Drosophila melanogaster: one gene and its partners. The gene in region 1 interacts genetically with each later gene. Each region holds a gene or a part of one and is shown on either strand. Other genes may lie near its edges. The genes, in order: Bro, run and lz.

Region 1 (9,498 bases):
CTGCGGTATGTATAAGTTTATGAATTTTTAGTCCGCGGCGGCGTTCCCTTCACCTATTCCATTTTCACTCGACGCCTTTCCGCTTTCAGTTCGGAAAGAGACTGACTCGGATTCGGATTCAGATTCACATTCAGAGCAGTTGCAAAGTTTATTTCGGCAGCATCCCAAACGGAATGGCGGAAAATCAATACGTGCTCACGGGACCGGTGCTCTGGCCGCATCGAGAGTCAAGAGAGGACAGCCGCAGCCACAGCCGCGACAGGCCCACCCCGGAGAGTGGAGAGCACGGCGGAATGGCGGAACGGCAGCTGGACCCACTTCACCATCCTCGGGCAGTCGGCTCGGGTGGTGGTTGTTCCGAAAGTGGCGCAAATGAGGCCAAAGACCCCGGCTAGCAACCCTTAAGGAGGCCCAGATAAACAATCATTAGGTGAACATGAGTGGCTTTCGCCAAATGAATGACACACAAAACTCGGAAACTCCTTGTGAAATGAGAGTTTTAGTAATTGAGAGCAGATATTACCATTAGTGTATTAAACATAATCTCAGTATTATAAGAGCACGATCAATGGGTTTCAGATATTTATTGTTGATTTACTTAGATGTTACTTAAAGCTATGAGGGTAATATATAGCACTACCATCCCATTGGTCCTCTAGGCAGACCAGGCCCACCTCTGTGATGGTGATCCTCGGGTGGAGTCTGGGGCGTGTGGTAGATTCTCCTGGACTCAGCCATGCGCTGGTTGTAGCTTTGAATCTGCTCCTGCAGCTGAGCATCCTCCTGCTGGGCTCGTTGTTCATCGAACTCCAGGCAGGCAGCGCCATCCAGTCGGTCCAGATCCACCCAGCCCCGGAAGCGGACGCACACCCCGTTCATGATGAAACTAGAACGCAAATGAACTTTGCCCCGCTCCCGCTCGAAATCGCAATCCTGCTCCTGGGCGTACGGATTGTGGTTGGCGTTGAAGTAGAGCTGCAGATTAGTTCCTGAAGCTACCATCGATATCTCCGCATAGCCCTTGCGGCAGTCGTTGACAAACCGCATCCTGCGCTCCTCCATTGCACGTTCCCGGTATCCTGTGTAGCGAACCTCGCTCTCCCTACTCAATCGGCGGAAGAGCTCGTCGCTATCGAACTTGGACCTCTGGTCAGGCACCACGCGGGGCATCTTGAAGATGAATCTGGGCTTGGGCTGCTCGTACATAGCCATGGCTTCGTATGGCGGGATCATTCCATTCATGGCGGCCGCGTCTCCGAGATTCTGGTGATGATGCATGTCTAATGTTATAACTGTATTCTCCGAAAGATATAGTTGTACTGATCAATGTTAAAATTGACCGCCTTATTTAAACAAAAAAAAAAAGTTGTAGAACAGGTAATCGGGAGCGATTGGGCTACCTAACGAATCCCCTAATTGTCGCCTGGTAATCAAGGATGGAAACCATCTGGACACAATAAGGATCAGGTATAGCACTTATAAGTATCCTATTTGAGGTTTGTTTTATAATCCGTAGGGTTTTTACAGCTCCGAATATTATACTTTGAGGATTGCAGGTATAATGCTATCATAAATAAAACGAACGAATTGAACGCACTATATAATTTTAAGTTTAAATTCGAAATTACGTTTTAGCGGTAATTTTAACAGTGTTGGTTAGCACAGCGCTTAAGCAAAGGGAGTTGCCAACCATGGCAGCCCAAGCAGGTGACAACTCTAGAGTCCGGGCACATTAAACAGCTGTTGTGTATTGTATTGTTTAACTTTAGCAATTTTATAAACATGTCGCTTGTTGCTTATGCTGCCAGTTCTGATGAAGATTCGGAGAACGAAGAGGAAAATTCTGTACCACAAGTGGAAGTAATAAAACCCCAAGCCAAGCCGAGCACACCAAGTGAAGCGTATCTAGCTCGGGAATCAACCAGTGGTCACATTAGTGATGAAGATGACGACTACGTTCCCCAGGAAGTGTCCCTTCAGGAGTTAAAGCCGCCCAACGGAAGACTGCTATTAGCCTTACCCAAACCAAAAGTCACTGCTCCCGCTAAGGATCTGGAAAATGAGGATGTGGACAACCAGGTTACTTCCGCCTTTGCCAACCTGCCCATGCCACGAACAGCAGCGAAAGGAAAAGCCATTGTAGAGGAGAAAGACGATGAGTTTCTGCACAAAAAGGCGCTGCCCGTAGAAATAGAGAAACCTCCACCGCCGCCAGTCAAGGGAAAAGTAAAAATCAGCATTCCTTCACTAAGAGATTTCTCAGATGTAGACCAGGAGAAAGCTGACAGGGCTAAGAACAAAGTTGATAAGCCCAATGTACCCAAGGGATCGGGATTGTTGAGTCTGCTGCCCCAAGCAAAGTCGGAGCGCAACTTCTCCAAGAACTCTTCATCCGCGGTAGCCTACCCATCAGCCAGCACTACTCTTGCTTCCAGTCTAAGCAATAATCCTGCGCAGCCTCGAGCAGCACCAGCTTTTGTTCCCGATACAGTTAAGCAGCGACGAGCTGCACACAACACCGAAGGCGTAGATGGCCCTAAGGCCGGGCACAAGAAGAATCCTGAGACAAAAGACGCTTTGAAGTCAACAAAATCCAAACCTATAAGTAAACCCACTTCGCTGGTAAATGCCAGCGATAGTGAAGATGATGACGAAGATGGCACTGGAGACTTTTTCTCCCTGAATTCCGAGCAAAAGCTGCCTGAGGTGAGCAGCAACGAGATTAGCGCTCTAGTGGCCAAGCGAGCGGCCAAGATGGTGGAAGCCAGTAGCAAGTACCTAGAGGAGGTAGCCGAGAAGGAAGCAGCCGAAGCAGAAGCCGCCCGACTTCAGGAAGAGCAGTCTCAGATTGCACAAAAGCGCTACCATGAGCAACAGTTAAACGCAGAGGCCATGGACGCATTGGTGGGCAAAAATGCCAAGCGCCGGCGGAAGGAGGCCAAGGAGATGCAGGTGATCGACATATCTGGGTCTCAGGTGCTACCTGATCGCGAGGAATGGATGCGATCGGCTCTGGCTTCGTCCACCACCTTCCAACCGACCGGCGTGCTGACGGACGAGGAGCCGGTGGCAGGGACTCGGCGCAAGCACCAGATCACCTACCTGGCGCACAAGGCGAAGGCCAACGAAGCCGAGCTGCAGGCCATGTGGTCGGCCAACCGGCAGACCCGTCGGGCCACCCAAAGCAAATACGGCTTTTGAGTTTTCACTTTATGTACACCTAATCCTACAATATATGCTTAATATTACTGTATCCAGCCCTCTCGTTTTCCCAGCCTGCTGCCAACATAGAAGATGGCGGTGCTCAGCAGCAGGATGACCGGGGCAACGGTCACGTATATGGGAATCTGTTGCGGGTACTCCAGCGTTAGGCAGATCATCACTTGGGAGGCGATGGTCAGCAGGACGCCGGCAATGTTCCATTTGTAGAGGAACAGGAGATCCGTCAGGCAGGTTAGGTTCCGCCACTTGCGGATAAATTTAATGATCACGTAGATGATAATGATCACATCGAAGAACCAGAGTGGCGTAAAGGTGACGAACCAATTCCAGGTGGTGCGTGGGTCCAGGCGGAGACACAGAAGAATCAGGAAGACCAGGACGATAAACCAAGTGAAGAGCGCCCGGTGTGCCAGTGTCATCTTTGTCACTTATTTATATATTTTCCATGGTATTACAGAAAATAAACAAAGCGAAGTTACCGTGAATAGAATGCACTTTGTCCAGTGCTGTAAAACTACGATTACAGTGGTCACTAAAAGTGTTCGTAGAAATACATTTACCAACTCAATTTTCGAATATTATTGACGAAGATTAAATATATTCAAAAATATCACGTAAAATCTGTATATTTAACTATATAAAGAAGACTGGAGAGCATGATAATTCATTCATATTCATGTGTGTACTTTTGAAAACTTATGGTTCCCAGTGTATGCACATCTGCCAACGCTGGCAACACTGACTGGGTCGCGAAGAAGAAGATAATTGACGTGTCACAATTTCGACGATTGGTTGGTGTTTTTCATAAAATTAATTGTTGGCAGTATATTACGTGTTACTTGTAGCGTATCAATAAAATGGGTTTGTTCTAACACCCACCTCTTGATGTTTTGATACAGGCAAGTGCTCGAACCAGCAAAAAAAGGGCGCTTGACGGATAAGCCGACACCTAGAAGTGCATCCAATTTGAGACACCTACAGGCAGAACAGAAAAAGTGCCACCATGCTGACCAACTTCGAGTCGAAGTCGGCGAGGGTGAAGGGCCTCTCCTTCCACCCTAAGCGCCCCTGGATCCTGGTCAGCTTGCACAGCGGCGTCATCCAGCTGTGGGACTACCGGATGCACACGCTCCTCGAGAAGTTCGACGAGCACGACGGACCGGTGCGAGGCGTGGCCTTCCACCAGCAGATGCCGCTCTTCGTCTCTGGCGGCGACGACTACAAGATCAAGGTGTGGAACTACAAGCAACGCCGATGCATTTTTACCCTCCTGGCCCATTTGGACTATGTGCGCACGGTGGCTTTCCACCACGAATACCCATGGATTCTGAGCGCCTCCGACGATCAGACCATACGCATCTGGAACTGGCAGTCGCGCAACTGCATCTGCGTGCTGACGGGCCACAACCACTATGTGATGTGCGCCCAGTTCCATCCCACGGAGGATCAGATCGTTTCTGCTTCACTCGATCAGACGGTGCGCGTGTGGGACATTTCGGGGCTGCGTAAGAAGAACGTGGCTCCCGGGCCCGGTGGGCTTGATGACCACCTAAAGGGTCATCCGGGTGCCACTGATCTGTTTGGCCAAGCAGATGCCGTGGTCAAGCACGTGCTCGAGGGCCACGACCGTGGCGTCAACTGGGCCAGTTTCCATCCCACCCTGCCGCTGATTGTCTCCGGTGCCGATGATCGCCTTGTGAAGTTGTGGCGCATGAACGAGTACAAGGCTTGGGAGGTCGACACCTGTCGCGGTCACTACAACAACGTGTCCAGCGTGTTGTTCCATCCCAGGCAAGACCTGATTCTCTCCAACGGCGAAGATCGCAGTATTCGCGTCTGGGACATGACCAAGCGCCAGTGCCTCTTTACATTCCGGCGGGACAACGAGCGCTTCTGGATACTTACAGCGCATCCGACCCTGAATCTGTTTGCAGCTGGCCACGATGGAGGTTAGTTGATTTCTTTTAGGAATAGGAATTTTTTGTAATGATACATATTCTTTCAGGTATGGTGGTCTTTAAACTGGAGCGAGAGCGTCCTGCATATGCTGTCCACGGGAATATTCTCTACTACGTCAAGGAACGTTTCCTTCGCAAACTGGACTTTACCACCACTAAGGACACTGTGGTTATGCAGCTTCGACCAGGCAAGTCGCCGGTGTACAGCATGTCGTACAACCCAGCACTGAACGCCGTGCTAATCTGCACGCGCACCAACAACCTGGAGAACAGCACCTACGATCTTTGCCAAATCCCCAAGGACACCGAGAGCCAAAGTGAGTCGGACAGCAAGCGAAGCTCTGGAATCACGGCCATCTGGGTGGCACGCAATCGGTTTGCAGTGCTTGATCGCAACCAGCAGTTGGTGATCAAGAACTTCAAGAATGAGGTGACCAAGAAGTTGCCAACTTTCTGCGAGGAGATCTTCTATGCCGGTACGGGAATGCTGCTCATTCGGGACCCTGAGTTTGTCACACTGTACGAAGTTCAGCGCCTAGTCTCCGTTGGAAGCATTAAACTGGCCAAGTGCCGCTACGTGGTGTGGTCTCCGGACATGTCCTTGGTCGCTCTACTCTGCAAGCACTCGGTTACAATCTGCGACCGAAGACTTCAGTACTTGTGCACCGTGCAGGAGAACTGCCGCGTGAAGTCTGGCGCCTGGGACGAGTCTGGAGTGTTTATCTACACCACTAGCAACCACATTAAGTACGCCATTACAAACGGGGACCACGGCATCATCCGTACGCTGGACCTACCCATTTATCTGACACGCGTCAAGGGCAACCAAGTGTTCTGCTTGGACCGGGAGTGCCGCACCCGTGTGCTCCACATCGATCCTACGGAGTACAAGTTTAAGCTTGCCCTGATTCAACGCAAGTACGATGAAGTACTGCATATGGTGAGAAATGCCCGCCTAGTGGGTCAGAGCATCATTGCTTACCTGCAGCAAAAGGGTTATCCAGAGGTGGCACTGCATTTTGTCAAGGATGAGAAAACCCGATTTGGACTCGCTCTGGAGTGCGGTAACATCGAAATTGCTCTCGAAGCAGCCAAGGCTCTCGATGACAAGGATTGCTGGGATCGCCTGGGACAGAGTGCGCTGCTCCAAGGAAACCACCAGGTGGTAGAGATGTGCTACCAGCGGACCAAGAACTTTGACAAGCTTAGCTTCCTCTACCTGATCACCGGCAACTTGGAGAAGCTCAAGAAGATGAACAAGATTGCCGAGATTCGCAAGGATGTTTCCGCCCAGTACCAGGGTGCCCTCCTTCTCGGTGACGTCAAGGAGCGGGTAAACATCCTCAAAAACTGCGGACAACTTTCGTTAGCTTATCTCACAGCCGCTACTCATGGATTCGATGAGCTCACTGAGTCCCTGGGCGAATCGATAACCTCGCAGGGTAACAGCCTTCCCGAGGTGAATCCCAATGCCCAGTTGTTGCAGCCACCAGTGCCCATCCAGCAGCTTGAAACCAATTGGCCGTTGCTGTCCGTGTCCAAGGGCTTCTTTGAAGGCGCCATGGTCACCAGGGCTGGCTCCAGTGCCACTGCCCGACAGGCGCTGAACATCAACGCCGATGCTGCACTGTTGGACGAGCATAATGGTGGTGGAGATGGTTGGGGAGCGGATGCCGACTTGGGACTAGATGAAGACGGAGATGACGAGATGCACGACGCGCTGAGCAACGATGGCGATGGTGGTGCGGGTGGAGAGGAGGGTGCCGGCTGGGATGTGGGCGATGATGACCTGGTTGTGCCCGAGGAACTGGCCTCCAAGATCAAGGCCTCAGCCCTCGACAGCAACTACTATGCGGCTCCCAACAAAGGCTTGTCTCCTGCCCAACAATGGGCCAACAACTCGCCTCTGGTCCTGGACCATGTCAAGGCCGGATCATTCGAAACCGCCTTCCGTTTACTGCACGATCAGCTGGGAGTGGTCAATTTCCAGCCATTCAAGACACTCTTCCTGCAGAACTACGCCTGCTCTCGAACGAGCTACACGGCCAATCCGAATCTGCAATCCCTAAGTGGTTACCCACTTCGCAACTACTCCGAGACAAACATCAAGCTGCAGCGTCCTGCGGTTGGCATTAAACTGAATGATTTGGTGGCACGCCTGCAAGCTGGGTACCAACTGACAACTTCTGGAAAGTTCTCCGAGGCAGTAGAGAAGTTCCATTCCATCTTGATTAGCATCCCACTGCTGGTAGTGGACACGAAGCTAGATGCGGCGGAGGCCCAGCAACTCTTAAGGATCTGCGCTGAGTATATCGTTGGCCTGAAGATGGAGACTGTGCGCAAGGGCATGCCCAAGTCGACGCTTGAGGAGCAAAAGCGTCTGTGCGAGATGGCCGCCTACTTCACGCACTGCAAGCTTCAGCCCGTGCACCAAATCCTCACCCTGCGTACCGCCCTCAATATGTTCTTCAAGCTGAAGAACTACAAGACGGCCGCCTCATTTGCCCGTCGTCTCCTGGAACTGGCGCCACGACCGGACGTTGCCCAGCAGGTGCGCAAGATCCTGCAGGCCTGCGAGGTAAATCCCGTGGACGAGCATCAGCTGCAGTACGAGGAGTTTAATCCGTTCACAATCTGCGGCATCAGCTGGAAGCCACTGTATAGGGGTAAACCCGAAGTGACCTGTCCCTTCTGCTCCTCCTCTTTCGACCCTCAGTTCAAGGGCAATCTCTGCACAGTTTGCGAAGTGAGCCAGATCGGCAAGGATAGCATTGGCCTGCGCATTTCAAACCTGCAATTCCGCTAGGACGGACTAGCTTGTCGCTTTTAATATAAATGTTTCCAACACGCCGAGCGAGACCCCATAGTTTAGTTTTACACGATCCTTGCTTATTATGTATAAAGTTCAGTATCTGTATATTATAATGCTATAAAATCAAACCAAACGACTTGTTTTCTTGATCGATACCTAGCCTCGGTAGGCAATTCCCAGTGAAGAGTCTTAGTCACTCTGCTTAAAGGTGGAAATTCCAAAATGAACAATGCCATATAGATTAGTAATTATGTATTTTAGTTAAAGATACGACACTAATTTCACACTAAGTTGTAAGTATAATACCATAAAAGCATACGTAAAGTAAGCATTACATCTAACACTAATCTAGGAGCATAATTATTCGAGCGTGTCTAACGTAATCGTATTGAAATCTCTCAAGTGAAAGCCCTCTTAAGGGGTTCGGAGCATTCTCAGTTGTCCATGAAATATTGAGTATTCGCGAATTGAGTCTCTAACTGCTGGTGATGCGTCTGCTGCTGCTGGGGAGGCAGCTGCGGATGGGACGGCCCAGGAGCCGTCCACAGGTCCAACTAACGACGCCACATGCTGGCGCCAACGCCAATGCCTCCGGAGGCCACGCCCCGTCGCACTGCCTCCATCTCGTCCTGTCGATTGTCACGGTAGGCGCGCTTAGTGTCCTCGAACTCACGCAGTCGCTGGTTGTAGCGATCGATCTGATCCCGCAGAATGGCGTCCTCGTGCATGGCGCGCCGCTCGTCATACTCCAGACAGCCAACTCCGTCCAGTCGTTCCAGGTCTATCCATCCACGGAACCGGACACAAACCCCGTTCATGATAAAGTAGGACTTGATGTGCACCTTGCCGTGCTCCTTGTCAAAGTCGCACTCCTTGTCGTGCAGGTACGGGTTCTGGTTGGCGTTGAACACCAGCTGCAGATTGGTGCCCGATGCCACGAAGCTGGCCTCCGTGTGTCCTTCGCGACATCCGTTCATGAAGCGCACCTGCCGCTCCTCGATGCTTCGTTCCCGATAGCCCGTGTACCGAACCTCGCTCTCCCGACTGAGCCTCCGGAAAAGTTCGTCGCTCTCGAACTTGGACTTCTGGTCCGGGACCACACGAGGCATCTTGAAGATGAAGCGCGGCTTTGGCTGTTCATACAATCCGATGGTGTCGTAGGGTATCATATTGGCAAGTGCCGCCTCGTTCATCATTTTAACGGGTTTTCGCGATTCGTCCGCTCGATGGAACGCTGAATAGGGTATGTTTCTATGGGTGCTTCTGCAGACCGCTGCGTGCACACAATAATCCCTGGAACTCGGTACCCTGGATGGGTTTCTTTTGGTCGCTCCTTCGACGAGCCTTCTGCGTATACACAATAAGCTCTTGTATCTTAGCACTCTGAATGCTAATTGTTTAAATTTCTCGCCTCCGTCGAAAAAAACAACGCACAATACAACAAAAAGGTTGGTTTGCGGTTTTGATATACCAACTGACGCGGCGTTGCCACTGGGAAATAGTGGA
Region 2 (10,277 bases), on another chromosome or scaffold:
GAACTCTGCTTCTTTCGAGCCTGTTTCTGTTTTCCAAAGTCGAAAACGATATATTTCTCTGTGCGTTCTCGACACGCTAAAGTCGCTGAGTGAACTGATTCTCTGCTGCGATCGTTGGCAGTATTTAAAGTGGAATGCGCTGCTCGCCGCCTCTGTCGACGGCTCTGCCGGCGTTTGTGCCCCGTCCCACTTGCACGGCGCTAGCGCCGTCTCTTTCCCGCCCATTATCCTGGGCGGTATGGTGGTGTGGTTGGCTACCTACGCACACAGGCGCGCCTTTAAGGGTGCCGGGGCAGGTATATATCGGTATATCGAGCAACCACCATTGCCGCCGCAACAACAACCACAGCAAAAAATTTCCCATTTTTCCATTGCGGTCTCTCTGTGTGTTTGTGTGTGTGTGTGTGTTTGGCTGTCGTGTTAGTGTGCCTGTGTACGTGAGAGAGAAGTCGCTTGTTACTTGTGGCCAAAAAGGAAAAAATAACAGCGGAAAAAAGGAAAATCGCATGGGCGAGAGCGAGAAAGAGAGAGAGAGAGTGATGGCCTGGAAATTGCACCAAAGAAAAACTCAAAAAAGAAATACACCGAGACTTTTCCACTCTCTCGCTCTGGCTCTCGCTTCCTCTCTCGCTTTTCCCCACGGGCGGTCTGGAAATTGTGTGCGTTTTCCTTTTCTTCGCTTTGAATTTTATTTTTTCGCCACGCACGCCAAAAGAAAAACGGCCGTGCAACAGTTTCCCATTTTCCACTTCCAGCGGCGCGCGTGTTTTGGCGGCCCTCCTGCGGAGGGGTTCGTCGAGGGGGGCGGGGGCGGGTGGTACAGGTAGGCACCCATGGCCAAACGGGGGGTTCCCTTCACCATCTCCTTCTCGTTCCCTTGCCTTCCCTTTCCCGAGTAGCTAGGATGCCAGGGGCGTCCTGCCGACAGGACATGAGGACTCAATTAGTCAGTGCGAGGAGGGATCAGGTTGCGAAATTATCATAAATATTATCACAAGCATCAGGAGAGCTATATCACTATGACTTTGGGATAAAAGGATTTAAGCCTTTTAATTTCATGGGTGATACGATTGTGGAGTTTGGAAAATTTTGGAACATGGGATTTTCAATTATGATAATAATCTATAGTACATATAGTACACACTATCCCATACTATCATAAGATGAATTATATTTTCCTTTATATTTGTATTTATTATCATATATTTAATTGCTTTCGAAGGTATCTTATCGATTAAGATGAAGATGCCGAAAAAAATATAATAAATATAATAATATATATATATATATATATATAATATATATATCAACATAAGCACGATATTTTAAATACATCATTATTAGTGCTACAAATCGTTTTAATAATCTGTTCAAAAAACTAATCATTTCCAGTGTTAATTTTTTTTTTTTTGAATATGCATCAACGTTATCCATATAATTTCATTTCAAATAAGTTAAGTTAAGTAATTTAAGATCAGATCTAATTAATAAACATATACACGTGCATAACAGTGCGTCCCATTGTTCGAAAATGTCCCAAAAATTAGTGTTTCATTCAAAATAATCAGAAATCCCCGGCTGATCATATTACGGCACACTGATCCCTCAGTGTTGCTCAATGTTTTTCTCGATTCCGCCCAAAATTTACTTTATCGCCGATCTCGGAACTCGGAACTCGATCAACTGATCTGCAATCTCCGATCTGAATCTGTCCAACTAACACCCATTGTCAGGTCCGGTCCACTTCCAGTACTATCTAAGATGCAGTGCCATCGATCTCTCCGGGGATCGAACTTAATCCTAATGCTGATCGGGCGATTATCCTGCGATTAGTCCTGTAAATATTTGTGCGCCTCTCAGTTCGTGTGGCGCAATCCGGCTCGATTTCATTTCCATTTTCGCTGCCTGCGATCGCCGATCCTTGATTGGATCAGGTTTAGCTAGCTGATCGGATTTAATCTGATGCGGAAGTGTCATACTTGGAAGAACATCGAGTATCTTTGGCTGCCTACATTGAACTCTCTTCAAACTAATCTACGTTTACTTAGGTTTTAAGATTTGTACATTTTGCTTAGCGATTGGCTAAGTGATTAGCACATACATAGATAGTAATTCAGATTACGAAACTTAGCTTCAAAAACGAAATATGAACGATTTAATTAACTTAATGTAAAATGGATTAACTGTGTATTAATTCTTAAGAGCTGCTGAATAACACTTGACACTTGACTTGACAATTTAAAGTAATATTCTCAATTCCTTCAACACTCATTTCGTGCAGTGGAACGCAAATCAAGTGCCTGACTGGCCAAAAAATTGCGGCCCACCAAAACAACCTTAAAAACGAGGCCACACAGGACCCGCGAGTTTTCCGAGGTGGCGGACTCTTCCAGGCACCGCGTGGAGGAGGAGGAGAAGGAATGGGGAGCATGGCCATTCTGGTAGGGGAACTACGAGGCAAGACCAACCAAAATGTCGCGAGAACGCGCCGCTCTCAGCTGGACATTATAGACGCACACTTCCAGTAAATCCAGTGTATCGGCAGCGCTGCCTTTTGTACGTGCGCGGCCGCTCGCTGCGAAGGACCTCGTGTCCCTACACCGATTTCACACCATATAGCCCCGGGATATATGGCAGGACAGCGCAGGTTTAGCGGGCGTGCGACAAGGACGCGATTGCCGATGGCCGATTGACGATTGCCGGTTTCCCGGGAAATCAGCGCTCCTGTCGTCGCTTCTTGGATCCTGCTGCGATTCCTTGGCAATTTGCGACAGGAGCTGCCGCAGCACGCGCATCGCAGGACCCGCAGGACCGCCTCATAGGGATCACCGAGCACCAGGCAGTACCTGATCTCCATACCGAACTCGCTACGAGCCCACAGCAGCCAAAAGGATCAACCCTTTTTTTATGGGCCCTCCGATGCTTTTTTGCGGCCCCAAAAAAGTGGGAAAACTATGGGTTTACTGGCTTTGACGTACCTGGCCCTCAGATGTACCATCGCATGTACTGATATCGCACCTCAAAACAGGTAGTCCAACCGCGCAATCTTAATCCTTTGCTTATGAAAGTCAATCGCCCGGATTAAGCAGCACGCCCCGCAAATATTTTGGCCGATTAGCCGCCGCCACGGGCCATAAAATATGTTCCCAAAAAATAAGCAACGAGCATCTGATACGGAAAGTGCCTACCTGGCCACCAAAAACTCAAAGGACTTCGCTTTTTAGCGGGATTAACCGATGGGAGATTAAGGCGACAGTAACCTGTATTCATGTACTCAATATATGCAATGTTTTTCTCACTGCTGTTGAGCAGTTAATTTAAAACAAAAAAGAGCGAGGCTTAATTAGCTGAATTTACTTCTGTACTTCACCATAAAAAATCACTCCCGACTATTTCTTAGTGCAGATATTTTTTGTACAGTAGTTTAGTACGCAAGCTACTTGAATCTGTAAGATACGGTTTCATCTATGCAAATGTCGTGAGCGGTAAATAAAACTTCCAGTGCGATTAAAAGCTTCTGTACTTACCGATCTTACGCAATCTGAACTATATCTTAGTGCAGATTATTTAGAAAAGTATTTTAGTAATCAATCTACGATACAGGCTGCTAACTGTGAGATACGATTTCACTTATGCAAATACCGTGACGTTCCTGAATAAATTTCCTCGAAATGAATGGGTATCAGAACTACGATCTGTGCATTCCGCACCTCCGAGGAACGGACAAACCAGTACTCCGTTCATCCCCCAATCACCACGGCGATCAGTTGAATTATTCATATACGTGCGCAAGATCCCTCCCCCTCGCAGAAAGAGACGGCACCAGGCGAACGAAAGAGAGGCACCTACGCTCGAGGGGCTGGGGTAACCGCAGAGATCGGCCAACCGTTGGCGAGCAGATGCTACGGAAATAGCTGACATCCAAGAGGGGATGATTTATTAGTAGGGCGATCGTTATGGGAGAGAACGAGACGGCTGCGCCGATCGTGGCTCCGCCTCTCCTCATGGAGCTCCTCGCACAACCGTTATCCAGGCTATACTGAATGCACAGGGATCCCAGGAGCCAGGAGCCATTGACCACGGAGAACCCCAGAACCCCCAACAAAAATTACCGACAGAGAGCGGAAAACTCTGGCACCGTGGAAATTCCAGTGGCGCAGGGGAAATGCTCACTGCCACAGGAGAATAAAAAACAAAAGCGACTGCCAATCGAGGAACATTTTTGTACCCTTCGGTGTTTGGTTAGTTTAACTATTTCAAATGACAAGTGAACAATAACAATATTGATGCGTTTTTGAAACGATTATAACGACGAAAAACTGTTTTAACTAAGCATCTGTATAAAGTGAAACTGAAATTCAATTTAAATTATTTAATTTAAGCATGAAACATATTTTGTAGTAAAAAATTAAATATCTTTTAATAGCTCAAAAGCGTTTATAATAAATACAATAATCAATTTATTCAACAAATATTTGTAAAGTATTATAAAACGTGCATAAATGTTTTGTTTTTTTTTTTTAGGGAAAACAAACTTATTATTTCGTTATGAATATATTTGAAAATATACTGAAAAGTGTATTTAACAATTTGTGCCGCCAATTTGCGCATTCTTCTTTATTTACAAAAGGCAGCAGTGGAAAAGCGGAAAAGCGGGCAGCGCGGCGGCAGCGGACCGACTGCGACTGCGGCTGCGGCGTTGTGTAAGTGAATTGTGGTTTGTTGTTTTGGTTGTGGCGCTGGCAGTGCTGCCGGCAGCGACGTCGGCAGCGACGTCGGCAGCGGCTTCCGACCGCTCCTCCCCATCCCCCTCCCCCGCTGGCGACGTCATTCAACCCTCGGAAAAAATTACACCACAGCCGGTTCACCACTTTCCATTGGAAAACGCTTGTTTGAGTGATTTTTTTTCTGCGTTCTGGGGGTGTTTTTTATTTTCTTTCGTGTGGTGAAAAACGGGGAATGAGTGTGTTTCGGGTTTCCTTCTGTTTTTCTTTTTACCTTTTCCTTTTTTTTTTTTTTTTGGTTTTCTTTTTTTTTTTATTCTTTGCCTTTGCGACACTCCCACAAAATTGTGTTTTGGTTAGGTGGCCATGCATTGGCTGGCTTTCCACCGTTTTCCACACACTTTTCCGACTGCCAGCTGTTCTTTGGCCCGTGTGCGCTACTCCATCTTGGCCGAATCCCAGGATCCTTGGATTGCTTGGGACACATGTCATGGATTTTTCAGCGATCATTTGTGCTCCTTGTGTGCACATACATATATATTTCCTCAGTTTTCGTTGACTTGGCCCCTCTCTATTTACTTAAGAACAATGGATTTTTGGCAGGAACGATCCGTAACCATTTTGAATGGACTTTCTTTTGGGCCCGCGACAATTAGCCAAGGGAAAATGGAAGAGGCGAAAATTGGTGGGGGAAAATATGCAGCTGTCCGATCGGCGTTGAAATCCTAATGATCTCTGGCGATTGTTACACATGTCCCCTACAAATTGTTTACAAAAAACTCCCGAAAAAACGGGAAACAGTAAAGAAAAGTCGGAGGAGTGTGCAAGTTGTTTACATTTGTTGGCACAACAAAGGTTCTTCGGTTATGTTTTGGGCTGTTTTTGATCAAAGGACACTTTTCGTGATCATCGGCATCGTTTTATATTATCTTTTGATATTTATAGTAAGTTTTCCATCAATACGAATCATGTGATTTATGGTTTTTCATTCGAGACCTGCCTGTTTTTTCCTATTTTAAATTTACTGAAAGTGTTGATAGGGGATCATTTCTTTATTCTGTTTATTTTTGTTTTGAGTACAAAACTGAATTTTGAAATGCCTAAAACGGGTTAGCTCTCAACGCATCGGCCGCCCTCTGCAGAAGGTCGATCTGTCCTCGATTAAATACGTTTTCCCACCAACCGATCCTCCATTTTATAATGCCTCCCCACCCCCTTTTGTTATTATGAAACCCGCTTTCCCATGCCTCCCCGGCGCTAACTTCTGAACTGCAACTTTTGGCTTTGTAAATGGGTATATATTGTACATACTTAGATATATCGAAATCGCGGCTATATACAGCCAGCACGCTCCGCACACACACATGCCCTCGAACTTCCGATGGGCAGACAATGTGCAGATTAGAGCTGGAAATCCGTTAAGTCCGCCCGAGGAGTGCGTCCTTAATGCGATTGCGACCCCTTTTGGATAGCGGGCAGGAAGCCAGGAACCAGTTTTTAGATCTGTTCCCATTTGATATGTAAAAAACGCACTCCGGCTGGGTATTTCGCATAATTGGCGGCCATTTTGAAGTGGCATATGCCGCGCCATTCGGTTGTAGGGTATCGCGTGGCATCGGTCGGCTTGAATGGTCGGAGGGAGACTTGGCTCCTCTGGTGAGCCTTCGTCCCCGGCTTTTCCTTGATTTTTTCCACATTTTTTGCATTTTCCTGCCATTTTCCCCACTTTTTCCAGCTGCATTGTGTTTTGCTCCCTTTTTCAGCAGTGGCTTAGACTACAGAAGGGGCTTTGCATATTGAATCGTTTTACATATCGTTAGTTAATAAGTTGGCTAATGATGAATTAAAAATTCATTTTATTTAAAAGAACTTATTTATTTCGAAAGGTGTTTCAAATATGCATATATGTACATAAATATTTCTTTATTTTCGTAATTCTTACAAAACTTAACCAGTTTTATTTAGGTCTTGGGTTAAGTTGCCTTAAACCCCAGAAAAAGGACGCCCCTGCTCGTTCGCGGCTCCATGACAACTCTTTTTTACCAAGCTTGTATTGCTCTCTCTGTCCGTTTGGCACGTCCCGTCTCTATCTGGCTGGAAAAACGGAGAGCGCGTCTTGGAAAACGCTCCTGTCCGCCGCACGTTTCATGTTTCAATTTTGTATTTCTTTTTTTCTTTTTTTGCTTGCCCCGTTCGCTTGGCATTTCCTTTTCCTTTCCACCCCGAAAAGCCAGACACCGAGTGGGTTAAAGGGGTGGTCTTCCGCCGGCACTGGTGGCGCGCGGGGGTTAAGGGCGGCGGCAGCTGCGGCCACAAAACTAGTTTGGCTTTGGCTTTGCCAGAGAGAGAGAGAGGTCCTTCGGCCTTCGGTCCTTTAGCCCTTTGGTGCTTGGGCGAACAGAGCGAGATGGCACGAGTGGGCGAACGGGGCGGGGGTTAAACCATATTTTCCACCCACTTTTCTGGTTTTTCCTCTGGTCGACCGTCTTAGCCCGCCAAGGGTTGCAAATCAAAACGCGGTTTGCTGGTTTGTATTTCTGGCCAAAGTCGTCGTAACTTTTCAAGCATCTCCGCGCAGGAAAGAGACGGGTTAACGGGTGCAAGAGAGACGGGAACAGAGCCAGGGATGTGAGGTTAAAAAATAAAACCGAGGAGGAAGCAACGCTCGACATTAAAGAGTTCTCAGCGCCATTATTGACACTTGGGTGCACCGAAAACAAAAACCAAAATTTGAATATACGTTTTAGATCGAATCGCTAACGAAGAACACTACTTACTTTTGGTAAAATGTTTTTGGCATTCATGTGCAAAATTGAATCTAAAACTAAACTAAAACTTGTCACTAATCTTAGTTAATAAGAACATATATACAAATATGACTTATTATCGAATAGAAAATGTAAACCATAACTTACATTAGTTGTATAAAACGTAGGCTATAGTATTTTTGAGCAATGTTTTGGGGGGTTAAGCCCCGGCACCCCATATCACACTTGCAGCCCCTCTCACTGGAAGTTGTCAACTTGTATGCATAATTGCCTTGAATTTTTATGCCCAGCTTGCGCAGTTTTTTACGCTCTCTCTTCTCCCCGTCTCTGTCACTCTCCTATATCGCTGTCTCTCTCTCTTGGGGCTTGGCCTGCCCGGCACTGTGGGGTTAAGCCATTTGTTTGCCGTTCTGTTGTTTGTGTGCAATTTTAGTTTGGGATTTTCGTGGCATTTTTGTGGCCTTTTGTCTGGTTAACCGTGGTTGGTTATTGGTCAACACCGAAAGAGATGGGGATATCGAGTGGGAATGAGAGGGCATGATAGGAAGCGAGTGGGTCAAAAGTTTGTCAATGGAGTAAACCGCTAAAAAAATATTAACTTGACCAAAAATGCTTGATTAACTCGCGTCTCGATTTAAATACGCACATTAAATCGAATGGCAAACAATGGAGGTCTGAAATACAATCATATGTACATACATACATATGTATACACGAATGACAACGTAGAGTTATGGCGAAAAATCAGGATGTCTATAATCGATGTACACATGGTACACAAAGGGGCAATGATGGACAAAAATGGCTTAATTTGTAATTCAATTTGTAATACTATGTAGACTCAAGAATGGTATCATCGGTGTGTAGAGTAGTTAACTTAAGCTTAAGCTACAGTGCAAATACTTGTATTCCTATTAATGTAGCCGTTTAATTAATAAAGGTAACCCAATGCAAACGGATATTTAATATTTACATTTAAATATTTCAATAGAACCCGTTTTACCCCAATTATATTATTTAGTATGTACATCCAAATATATCTGGCTTACGAGTATATGAACTACTTATCGTTATGCATCTTTACAAGATGTTGTACCAATAAAGCAATGAACCTTTAATTACTTTCCCATTGAACTTCTAAGGTAATTCACCGACCCTCAAACAAACTGCTCGACTTTTTTACACCTCAACCGCAGAAAATAGAAAGAAGGACACTGGGCGAAAAAAAAAGACGATCAGTGTGGACAAAGGACGATCGAAATTGTGGCTAAAAAGCCAAAGCCAAAGGACAATGGGCCGCATCCATAAAATGCTTGCTCCAGTTTTTTGACCAATTTTTAGTGCAGTTTTTTGTGAGGCCATCGTTTTTTCTATGGACCAACAAAGGCGCGGATCACTTCCAGCGAAGGACGAGGGATCCTGTGCAGCAATTATGCGGAAAAGCAGAGCAGGAATTCTCAACTTTGCTACAGTTTTTTCCTGCTCGCCCTCTGTTCTGCTTTATGGCCGGCTTGTTAAAAAAGAATCATAAAAATTATTTAGATCTAGATCAGGTCCTCAGCGAGGACCTCATAAATCTGCTGAGCTGACCTACAAATGGCGAAATTCCCAGAAGCCGCAGGACTTGCGTAATAATTTGCATTTTTTTCTGCGCCTCTTAGAAGGAATTTTTTGTGTGCTGGCCGTGGGCCTTCTTCTCTTTTTGCGCTGCTTCATTCATGGGCCCATGAAATTGGCCCAAAAATTACCTAAGAAGCGTAAAACGAGAGCAGCCATAAAGGACCCTCGGGCGTCCTGCTGCGTCGATGTCCTACTTTTTTGCATGTTTTTCGAGCAATAAAAATCCTGTCGTCGAGGATTTCCGAATTTTTTTCGCCCTAAAAAGATTGGAGGGAGCCGAAGATTCGAACTAATTGAGGCGGGTGGTGCATAGTGCCTCTTTATGATGGATTGATCCCTGAACGGCTCTCGCCCCTCGACTGACCTCATAAAAATTTCCAAAAATAGAAAAAAAACAATATAAAGAACTTATGCTGCTCGACCAAAAAAATAGAACACTAAAAACTGGTCAGAAACTGGAGCAGACACAGCGAAATTGCCATACCTTTGTGTTTTTTTTTTTATTTGCATTTGTATTTTTATTTTTTGTTCAGTATCCCTGCCAGCGGCACCTGCTGTTTATTGCCAACATGTCGCGATTTTTTCGTACACCATAAAAAAAATGAGGTGGGAGTTTCGCAGTCTAACCCCCAAAAACAGTGAGCTGCTCGTTAGGAAGGCTAGAAACAACAGCAACAACAGAAACAACAGAAACAGAAGAGGAAGCGACGAAGGATGTGGGTAACTCTTGTTGTGTTAATAATTTGACATTTTATTTGTCAAAAAGAAGAAATCTGCGGGGCAAACAATCAAAAATGCCAACACTTGGGCTATAAAAAAGTAAACAAAGCGCAAGGAAAGCGGAAAATGGAAAACCCGTCCTTCCTCCAGACGGCGTGAAAAGTTTGCACAAAGGGATTTATGACAGTAGTCAAGTGGGGCAAATGTGCAAATTCACAAAATACTTCATCAAAAGTTGCGAAAGTCGCGCTCCCAACGTTTTTTTTTTTGCCACTTACACAGCATTTAATCGAGATTACAATTTGCCAGACATTTAATCAGTATATTTCTATAGATAGAAATAATTTCAATCTACGGAAACTACCATCTTTGTCCCAAAAACGAATGCAAAAAATCAGGAAATCCCTGCGAAAATACCCTCAAGATTAGTCTAAACAAATTGTTA
Region 3 (10,277 bases), on another chromosome or scaffold:
TGCTCGAGGAAGTCTTTAATTTTCAGAAATGTTATATAGTCAACCAAAACACAAAGGTGATATAAAGTGCTATAAAGTATATAAGTTATATATAGATCATTTTCATCAGTTATTAGAAATTACTATATATTATCCTGATCTGATCCTGATTCACAGAAGATAGTTAGTTTACCAACTCCTTTCTTTTTCACACCGCCTACCGTTTGCACTTCTTCTCTCCATTTTAGCTTATAATTCCCAAGTGACCGTTCGGACAGCACTGCAACTCACCTCTTCCGCTGCGTCCCACGAAACGCAGATCATTGAACTTGGCCACGTCGTTCTTCATCTGGGTGGTGAAGTTGCGCAGCTCCGCGCAGCAATTCTCATCGTTTCCCGCCCGGATGGTGACATAGGTGCCATCGCCCACTTCCGCCAGAGCGACGACCTTGAAGGCCATCGGCAGCGTCTTGTTGGAGCGCCAATGGGCGGGCAGGGCGGAGCACAGGAAGTACGGATTGCTCGTGCGCACTGGAAAATGAAGAAAGTGGGTAAAAAAAAAAAAAAATCAGGATAAATCAGTTTGGTTTTAATTAGCCAAGGGTTCGCTGATTAAAATCACATTTTCACGGCCATCAAAAATATTCAATTATTTATAGTTTCGTGTCGGTCCATAAATATCAATCATCGTGGATACTGAACACTGGATGCAGGATGCTGGATACTGGGTCCTTCGACCATCGACTCGCCATCCGGCGGTGCATAATTAATTAATGAGCGGGGAGATGTCAAACGGAACGGAACGAACGGACCGGACCGGAAGGGGTTATCGGTTATCAGATGACGTTTGACTGTTGACCTGGTGTCGAAAGTAGAGCAAAGTGTGGAGAGCTGGGCTGGCTGAATAAATGATTTATTTACTCGCGACTGGCGCGCAAAATAGACCGAAATATGGACATCTAATTGCTGATAATCATTAAATTTAATTTGTCACACCGCTGTAGGTTTGGAAATCATGTTTTACATAGGTGTCAGGAATCAAATGTGCGCTGCCCTGAAAACCAAACTGTGTAATAATAAATTGTAATAGACTAGGCACATCCAGATCCTGATTGAATCCCATAGGTACGATACTAACTCAAATGGAATGGAATATAAATATTACTTTAAGACAAGAGTGTAAAGTCCTGATAGTTGCAATTCGATATGAAGGCTATCCATTGAGCACAAGTTATGAAAGGACTCAGAAGTGAAAAAAAAAATCATATAGGATAACCAGTTTGCGGATTCCCCAGCTAATTTCAAGACTGACGGTGCGATGAGCTGAGATTTCATTAGCAGCTTTCGCTCTGGGTCATTGATATCATTGATAAATCGGGAGGAAAGTTCAACGGGCAGCAAGGAATAAGAAAAAAAAAAAAAAGGTGGCATTAACAAAATAAAAAAGGGGAACGACTCGTGCGTTGATATCAATAACAATTATTGATATCAATTTACGCATATTCCGACGGCGATGCCAGTCCCATCTTCACTGGCATCACCATCATCATCGCCATCGGTATCATCATCACGATCATCATACCCATGGAATCCGATAAGGCTGCGTCCGATGATCGTGATTGCCACGATGTGGAAGCCCCAGAAGTGCATTGTGCAAGGATGTGGCAAGAATGTGCGCTCCACCTTTCGGGGATCGGATTATCGAACAGACCTGCAAAGCATCCACCAGATCCCCTCGACACGAGCTAAAGATGCTGATACCTTGTGAATGGAAGAGCTGTCTCCGCAGAGGCTTGCCTTGATATATATATCTATCTATCAATCTTATATTCATAAGATATATTATATCAAGAACCATAGATCATATTGGGAATCTGGTAGCAAAGAATTTGCTATTTACAGTTAGTAAGCTAAATCCCTCTGTTCAATCAATTTTGTTCACGGGAAATTACAAATCCAGTTAGACTATATCTTCATATTCACTTTGATTTTGAAGGACATTAAGGTAGCTATTAATCCTTAACCCTTTTGCAGACTGTGTTACTACTAGGTTATTGGTAATATCCCACCAACAACTCACCCAATTCGCCGGGATGTTCCTGTTGTCGCTTCTGTACCAATCGCTCCATCCACAATAGATCCTGGTGAACGGCGTTGTTATTGTTGCTATTGCTATTGCTGGCACCGTTGTTGTTGTTGTTGCTGGCGGTACTACTGCTGTGACCGCCGGTGTGTCCACTATGCCCACTATGGGCTGTACCATTGCTGGCGCCACCTGTGGGCGAGCTGCTGCCAACACTGGCACTACTCGAAACGGCCAAAACCTCAGCGGCTGTGGCGCCCGTGGATGCAGTGGCGCCCTGGGTGGCACCACCTACGCCGCCGCCAGTGGCCGTCGCCACCGCTGTGATGCCCTTGAAGTCGCCGGTGGAGCTGCTCCAGCCGTTGCCCGTCGGCGATGTGGATGACGATGTGACCATGGCCGGCGGATGTGGTCCTGCCGGCGGATACGGATACGGTGGGTGGTGGTGGTGGTGGTGGTGGGGCGCGTGCGGATGCGGTGGGTGGTAGGGGTGGGCGTGGTGGTACGGTGAGTAGTGGTGGTGCAGGTGGTGATGGTGGTGGCTGCCGCCGCTGCCGTTGATGCTGCGACCCAGGCGGCCGGGACCGGCAACGCTGACGGGCGCCACAGTGGTGCTGTGGTCCGCCACCAATTCCTGGCCCAGTCCCAATCCCAAGCCCAGTCCCAATCCGAGTCCGAGTCCGTATCCGGAAGCCAATGGCAAGCCCAGCTGCAATTGCGATTCCGTTTGCGATGCCAAGTCCAATTGCGACTCCCCAGCAGCGCCCGTATGCCCAGATGGAGATGCTGATGGAGTTGGAGTTGGATTTGGAGATGGAGATGGAGGCGTCTTCTCTGCCGCCAGGAGATGCAAATGCATTCGTCGACGGCGGTGACCTTTGATCCGCTCGCTTGCCCCTTTTTTTCTTGCAGTGTGTGCGGGTCGCAGGTCAAGCGCTTATCACACTTCGCTCCGGCGGTGTCTTTTGTTCACTCATCAATAAACTCTAATCTCTAAACGAATTCACAGAAAAAAAAAAGCGTACTTAACAATTGTTTGCAATTGCACTTACGATATGAGAAAGATTCGTGTTTAATTGAAAACTTAAAATGCCGATCGATTCATTAAAAACAATCCATGACAACATCTCAAATTTGTTTCATATTAAGCAATTTAATTAAAGTACATATAGAAACAGTTCACTGGCGTACGTTTAAATAAAGAAATAATTGCAAAAAACAATATATATAAATTTAAAAAATGATTAAAAATATGTTTGCCTTTCTGAATACATATTAAATAACTGCGAGTACTACGACGATCGACATTTTGCTAGTTCGCACTTTGATAAATTAGTCACAGGAATTAGCGGTGCATTTGTTGCTATTGTTGTTTTTTCTTTCTCTTTTTTGAGCATGCTTTTGCCAGATGATTTCTGAACTTAATTAAATTTGATTTCGTTTGATTTGGATATTTTTATTGTTTGCACTTCACTCGGCTAATTAGTAATACTCTATGTTTGACTCCCGATTCGCAGACGGGCCTCCTTTTCTCGAGTTTAACTTTGATGATATTTCTGGGAATCGGTGTAAAAACAATATAGTACAATATAAACATTTAATGTTCACAACTGATCTCCCAAGTAATCATAAATGGTTGTAAAAGAGTCAGTTATTTGTTTATTCAAACAATGTATAAGAAGCTTTTACAATTACTATTGTATATTATTTGTTTGAGAACAAGCAACAAAGTAAACAAATTATTTCACAGTCGCAAAATAAAGCCTTAAAAAATATGAACTTAAGTTTTTGTCATAAAAACATTGCCTTAATTCGTTTGTGTCACCATTTATCACTTTTATTTTGTTACTAACTGCACTTAATAGCACTTTGGTTTGTGTTTAGTTTAATGTAAAACTGTTTAACAATATGTTTGAATGCAAGTTTCTGGCGAAACTGTGTCGCTCTTTTGTTTAAATTTAGTTGGTGACGAAATTCGAGTTAATAACTAAAAGTTAGCCGATTTTGGCGCGCTTTTTGTTTACTACTTTGTTTAACACTTACACACACACTTAGTTTACTTTCTTCGGTATTTCTTTAAGTGACTTAAGCACAAGTTACAAAAAAAAAGGGTTAACACGTAAGCGAGGTGTTATTTTCTTGTGTTTCTTTCAGTCGATTAAAAACTTCGCTAACAATGGAAACAATAATGCTCGCGCGTCGTACTCCAAAACATAACTGAAACTGACTTTTAACTTTTGACTGCGCCGCTTGAATTTCGCGAGACGATTGAGCTCGGCTCTGAGTCGAATCCAATCGTTTTTCCACTTGCCTCGCGAGCCAATTGGAACGAGAACGACTCTCTTTGGCCGGGGCGTTTTGGGTCTCTTAAGTTGCTCGCTCTCTCTCTCTCTCTCTCTCTCTTGCTCTTCTGTAAATGCATGGCCTAGTATGTGCATTGTGACAAGTCACCATTCCACGCAGTGCTGTTGCATCAAATTTTTAATAAATTTCGCTAAAAATAATAGAATTTAAATGCTTAATCAAATAAACAGTTGCTCTCCCTCTCGCTCGCTCCTGCGTTTCCCTTGCACTTGGCACCGCCCCCGGATTCTGATTGGTCAGGTGGACATGGCATTTGAGGCGCGCCATTGGTGGACACATTTTCATCCACCACCGGCTGCAACCACTTCCAATTGGAATCGCATTTAAGCGCGCTCTCTTTAATCAGCTGAGAGCGTGACGACTTAAGAGCGGCGCTCTTGTTCAGCCGGGAAATTTCGAAAATATTTAGGAGCTGGATATGATTAGATTTTCATGAGAAAATAAATAAGTTGTGTTTTTTTTTTTATTATTTTATTTAAAATTTAACATACATGTATTTAAAACGCACTTATGGAAAATTGTATTCATATAGATACATTTTGGATATTAGAGATGAAAATCAGAGAATCTACTTTAAAACTGATACTTAACATGCTTATCAAATCTGCTATTATCGCAAAAAGTGTTAATTAAAAACTGTGTGTTGTTGCTAGCGCAAAGAAAACAAGGATTCCAAATGACATGTGTTCTTTTTAGCGAAGGAAAGGCGTGATAAGAGACTATCATTGGGCCATATTTTGTGGTTCAGCCTTGGTTTGTGGTCGAAATACTGATATCGAATTAAAATAACAACGCAGAGTTCTTATGATTTTAAAAAGTGTTTATTTTAAATTTACCTCCGACTTATCACATCGAAGGGAAATAGTTCTTATCGCTGGGAATATAATAGCGTGAGAAGAACGTCAGCTTATCTGCGAGGGCAGAAATTGCGAGAAAATCAAATGTCTATGCTATTTAATTTCAGAAGTGCTATCAAGTGATTAAAATTAAGCATTTCAATTGCTCTCAAATACTTTCAAAACTACCTCAAAAGCGTTTTTTCCTTTAATATTGTATTAGTATGCTGTACTGCCTGTGTAGCTTAAAATTTAAAATTTACTTAATTGCTAATTCCGTATAATAAAACGAGACTGTATGCATAACTATTATTTTATACACAGTACATTTGAATTTCATTTTTATGGTCATCTATGGTTTGCGCCACCACTGAACAGTGAGGGCACACACCATGTTCGGAAGCCCAACTAGTCCATGGTGTTGATAAAAAACGTACTAAAATTTCCACAGCCGTTTTTCCCCTATGTGAGTGCAGCCACCCGTTTTAAACACAAACAATTTCGCAACGCAGTGAATCTCTTGTTTTTCCGAGTTTTTCCGCGATCGCGAAGTGCGCGTTAAAGTTAATCGCTGTCTGAAATCCCGTTAAGCTGGAGAAGTGGAAGAGAACGCGCAATTCCACCAAGAAGATGGACGGCCGAGGGGTTGGCGGCGGTGGTAGTGGTGCTGCCACAGGGGGAGGATCCGCCAACAACAAATCAGCTGCTGGAAATAGCGCCGCCACTGGAAATGCCGATGCATCTACCGCCACAGCGGCGCCCAATGATAAGCCAACGATTCTGGAAGGTAAGCAAACGAAAATGCAAATGAAAATGAAAACAAAGGGAACACTGCCTAATCCCATAGATAAAGATAAAGATAAAGATGGACCCATGGAATCTTTTATTAGAAAGCGCACACACACACAAGCACAAGTGCTGAGAGCGATTTAGCGTGAAATGGGCGTTTTGCCCGTCCACCCCACCCACTCCAATTGGGATTTGTGATTAGGCGAAGCGCAGTCTTTTGTCCTGTTCTAAAAATAGAACTACGCATTAGGCACAACGCACACATGAGCGCCCAAAAGTAACGGGGAATCCTTTTAGCGAAAGGAGAGCAGCTAAATAACTCTATTTTCGTATCTATGTACGTGTGTATTATGGGGACCTGTTGAGTGTGTGAAGCCCTAAAAAATCATCTAGAACACGTTTATGAGCAAGACAAATCAATACAACAACATTTCACAATTACACCCACAAATTGCACTCAATTCGATTTGATTAATCATCTGCATGCGTAAGTGTGTGTTTTTTTTTGTTTTACAGCTAATTGTTGGAATAAGAACAAAAATAACATTGCAATGCGAAAAGTCCTCTAGAGTATCGCTTGTCCAGTCCAATTGGACTTTTGTATCTCTGGGATGACGTGTATTTTTGACCATCCCAATCAGCTGATTCCAGCATTTCGTTTGGTTTTTGCCATTTTCTAGCCTTTTTCATTTTATTGATAGATGCTTATATGATGTGAAGCTCTTTAATTTATGCGAATGCGTCAGACAATTTGAATTCTTATCAGAATATAAGTACTGAAAGTGCCCACAGTTGTGTTCAATGAAATAGGGGTATGCATTTTTCAATGTTGTAAAATGGCTCATATAATTTAATTCGAAATCAACCTATCATCCATTTAAATCCGTGAATCAATGTGGTTTTTGCCACTTCTGCTATCTTTGCAGTTTGTGCACCTTATGTAAATACGGCTCTATGTAGTGTTAACTTGACTTTGATCTAGTTACTCGTGTTACTGAGTGTAGTCCATTGTTCTGCTATTTGCTAGCTCTAGCTGAAATTAGTCATTTGTTTTAAACGATATCTTAGCTTTGACTTAACACAAGCCAACTAAATTTTGGATTATATTCCATATGATCTGATTTAAGAAATCAAATTTAAAACATTTGTTGCCCTTTTGCAGGCGTTCTCCACAACATCTTCGATGGGCTGATGGACAAGGAGGAGCAGGTGCGGATTGCCATGCAGCAGGCGATCGTGAAGATCTTGGAGACCCATCCGGAACGGGCTGCGGAGATCCTCAGCGAACATCGATCGCAGCAGCCGAAGATGACCGATCAAACAGTGGCCATGTTGTTGGAGTAGGTTTCCCTTTGACATCAGCAATTAAAAGCTGTTCTAATCCCTACCTTTCTATATTTCAGCTGCATTCGTCGCGTGGTGGGAGCGGAAACTCCTCTGCCGCCGGCTGCAAATCAGAAACTTATTGATCTTGCGCTGCAGGAGCTCACCAAGAATCCCGAGCATTTGCCACTCATACAGAATCCCGCCCAGCGCATCCTGGTAGCCATCGGACGGAGCAGCCCAGAGAGTTGTGAGCAGGTAATGGAGGCGCTCCAGGAGAAGGGAACAAGTACAGAAGGTGTGGCTCACTTTATGCTGATGCAGTGCCTCGGTCTGCTGGCCACTGAGAATCCGGCAGGGGTTGTGCCCCACATAAAGGCCATATTGAGCCGTAGTCAGCCGCATCTAGTCGGGATACGCCAGGATCACATCAAGCAGGCACATGCCTATGCCATCGGTAGATTCAGTGAGGCTCTACTGGAGGAGAGCGGCAAAAAGGAGGAGGAGAACTGCTCCACGGAGATCAGTGTGGCCTACGATGTGCTCTTCAATCAATGGCTGCACTCCCGGGAGCCAAAGGTTTGCGTGGAGATACTGCAGGCCCTGTCCAGCATGTATCCACTGCTGCCCAAAGACCGGATTCAGGATCAGGCCGCCCGATTGGTTCCCCAGATCCTGGCGCTCTATCGACGCAGCGTGGACAGGAATGCCGTGACGCAGTTCCTCTGCTCCGTGTTGAAAACGAATCTGGCACTAAATGCCACAGTCTTGGATGGCATAATTGACGTGTTGGTCACCCATTTGTTCGACCTGGTCTGCGTTTATCCGGACTATGAGAAACCGCAGACGGTGAAGGGTCACTACGAGGTGCTGCGTTGCTTCCACCTTCTGGCCGGTCATCAACCCTACTCCACGCGCATTATGGACACCCTGCTGATCCACCTGCGGAACAATAGCGAACGCGAGAGGATGAAGTCCCTGCTGATACTCACGCACCTACTCAACTCCTGTGCAGGGAATATAGAAAACCGGATTCCAGCCACCATTGAGTGCCTAAAGCAACTGATCCTCAGCGAAAGAGGGATCAAAATGAAGCTAACGCTGCTAAAAACCATTGTGGCTCTCGCCCAAAAGTCCCACATCCGGGACAAGGAGTTTGTGTGGTTCGTGGTGCGGCATAGTTGCCGATTCTCAAAGCCAAGTCAGGAGCACGGCAGCCAGGAGGAGCACGCCAATTTGGTGCTGAGCTGTGAGAACACCCTGTACATGCTGGCCTCTACGGTGGGCACCTTGGATGAGCTGCTCAAGAGGGAGCTGCTGAACTACTTGATCCTACTGGACTACACGGATATTTGCGGGAATCTCGCCAAGTGCCTGGCTAGTTTGTTTGCCAAATCTCCGCACATAGAGTACGATATTGCGGGAGACGATGCCGCCACGGAGCAAGCCACACCGGAGAGTATGGGCGCTGCTGGCGAGGATCGCAGTGTGATCAAGCGCGGAAAGGTTATGGTCCCTGGAGCCGAGACGATTTACGCAAGATGTCTGGCACTCCTGGGCAATCAGCAGTGCATTAAACGATGCTCGAATATTCTCAGTTTTCTGCGCTACTACCATCCTCAGGTGAATCCCGCCCTGGAGGAGCTGTGGGAGCGAAAAATTCCCGATCTTCTGCTGCAAATCAACAGGGAGAGTGCCTATCGCCAGCTACTCCACGATTTTGTGCTTGAAACGAATGAATTTCTGGGCGGATTGGATGAGAACTTTGCCCAGCGGCTGGCCAGTAAGCTGGCGGACCAGATGTACTTGTATCCCATGCAACTGCCCCACTCCGAGTGGCATTTGCCTGACCTTAGCGCCGAGCGAGGCATGCTCCTGCAGGCGGTGGCCCTCACCCTGCTTCAGGTGACCGATGTGGCCTGCATCCACACCAAGATCGATCTCATTGTGACGACTGCCAGGCAGGAAAGATTGGACAAGCACGTTAAGCATGCGGACTACGAAAAGCGCATTGAACCCTGTGCCAGAGCCTTGGGCTACATTTCCCGCCAACACTTGGGGCATCTGATCAAAAAGCTAACCGAACTGGCCCAAGTCGGTGGGCGAAAGCACTCCACCGGTTTCTTTAGCAATCTGCACTTTATCAAGGATACGCACAAGGAGCTAGAGAACTACAAGAGCAACCTGCTCGTGGTCAAGGCTTTTGGTCGCATCATGGACGAAGCCGATCCGTTGCAATCCATTCAACACCTGGACGAAGATGACACATTGCTGGGCTTCCTCATCCAACAGCTGGCCGTGCACAAGGACCAAACAATTATGTCGGCGATCCTGCAGACGCTGCTCAGCATCTGCAACCAGTTGATAGCCACCAAGGAGCAGCTGCCGGCTCCTCTGCGTCATCGCAAGCAGATCATGGAGACGGTCTTCAACATCCCCATCGAGGCGCCGTTCCACGACCTTCCCCTTCTGCCCACCATTCTCAAACTGGGCACGGACTTCATACGCATAGGTAAGGAATTTCTATTAACTAAATGTAAATCTTATCCTAATCCTTTCACTATTTGTAGGTGGACCCGATACCGAGGAGTGTGTGGACGGCGGGGTGATCTTCGAGATCGCGTGCCGCAACTTCTTCGGCTGTGCCCAGCAGCTCAAGATGAAGTTCGACTCTCAGGAGGAGGATGAGCGCAACAGCTTCCTGGCCAAGCACCTCAACGAATCGCTGCCGCAGTTGAATGCGCTTGTGAGGGCCATCGTTGAACTGGACGCCTCGCCGGCCACACTGGATCTGATTATTGGCATTCTAGAGGGCTGGACAAGGGATCGCAACTCTGAGGTGCGAATCTGTGCCAGCCATGTGTTTAACAACACCCTCGATGTCTACATCAAGTCCATGAAAA

The links.
Region 2: of Bro (region 1) and run, changing one suppresses a phenotype caused by changing the other (phenotypic suppression), as found in Drosophila melanogaster (one study listed by BioGRID).
Region 3: of Bro (region 1) and lz, changing one suppresses a phenotype caused by changing the other (phenotypic suppression), as found in Drosophila melanogaster (one study listed by BioGRID).

The regions. Positions count from the first base shown.
Region 1 is NT_037436.4:1,639,685-1,649,182, reverse strand, and holds Bro (brother), read right to left. Parts: upstream 1,315-9,498; 5' UTR 1,279-1,314; coding exon 637-1,278; 3' UTR 571-636; downstream 1-570. Other genes in the region: CG17249 (uncharacterized protein), read left to right, coding at 1,783-3,201; CG13919 (uncharacterized protein), read right to left, coding at 3,246-3,641; alphaCOP (coat protein (coatomer) alpha), read left to right, coding at 4,226-5,171, 5,228-7,986; Bgb (Big brother), read right to left, coding at 8,547-9,188. UniProt on the Drosophila melanogaster protein: Regulates the DNA-binding properties of Runt.
Region 2 is NC_004354.4:20,684,263-20,694,539, reverse strand, and holds the start of run (runt), read right to left. Parts: upstream 3,871-10,277; 5' UTR 3,528-3,870; intron 430-3,527; 5' UTR 1-429. UniProt on the Drosophila melanogaster protein: Plays a pivotal role in regulating the expression of other pair-rule genes such as eve, ftz, and h.
Region 3 is NC_004354.4:9,278,565-9,288,841, reverse strand, and holds the start of lz (lozenge), read right to left. Parts: upstream 4,194-10,277; 5' UTR 4,106-4,193; intron 3,056-4,105; 5' UTR 2,922-3,055; coding exon 2,060-2,921; intron 511-2,059; coding exon 271-510; intron 1-270. Other genes in the region: c11.1, read left to right, coding at 5,893-6,049, 7,214-7,391, 7,455-9,886, 9,945-10,277. UniProt on the Drosophila melanogaster protein: Involved in prepatterning photoreceptor precursors in the developing eye; in the larval eye disk it defines a subset of cells as an equipotential group that is competent to respond to the sevenless developmental signal and another subset that confer proper photoreceptor identity by positively regulating the homeo box gene Bar.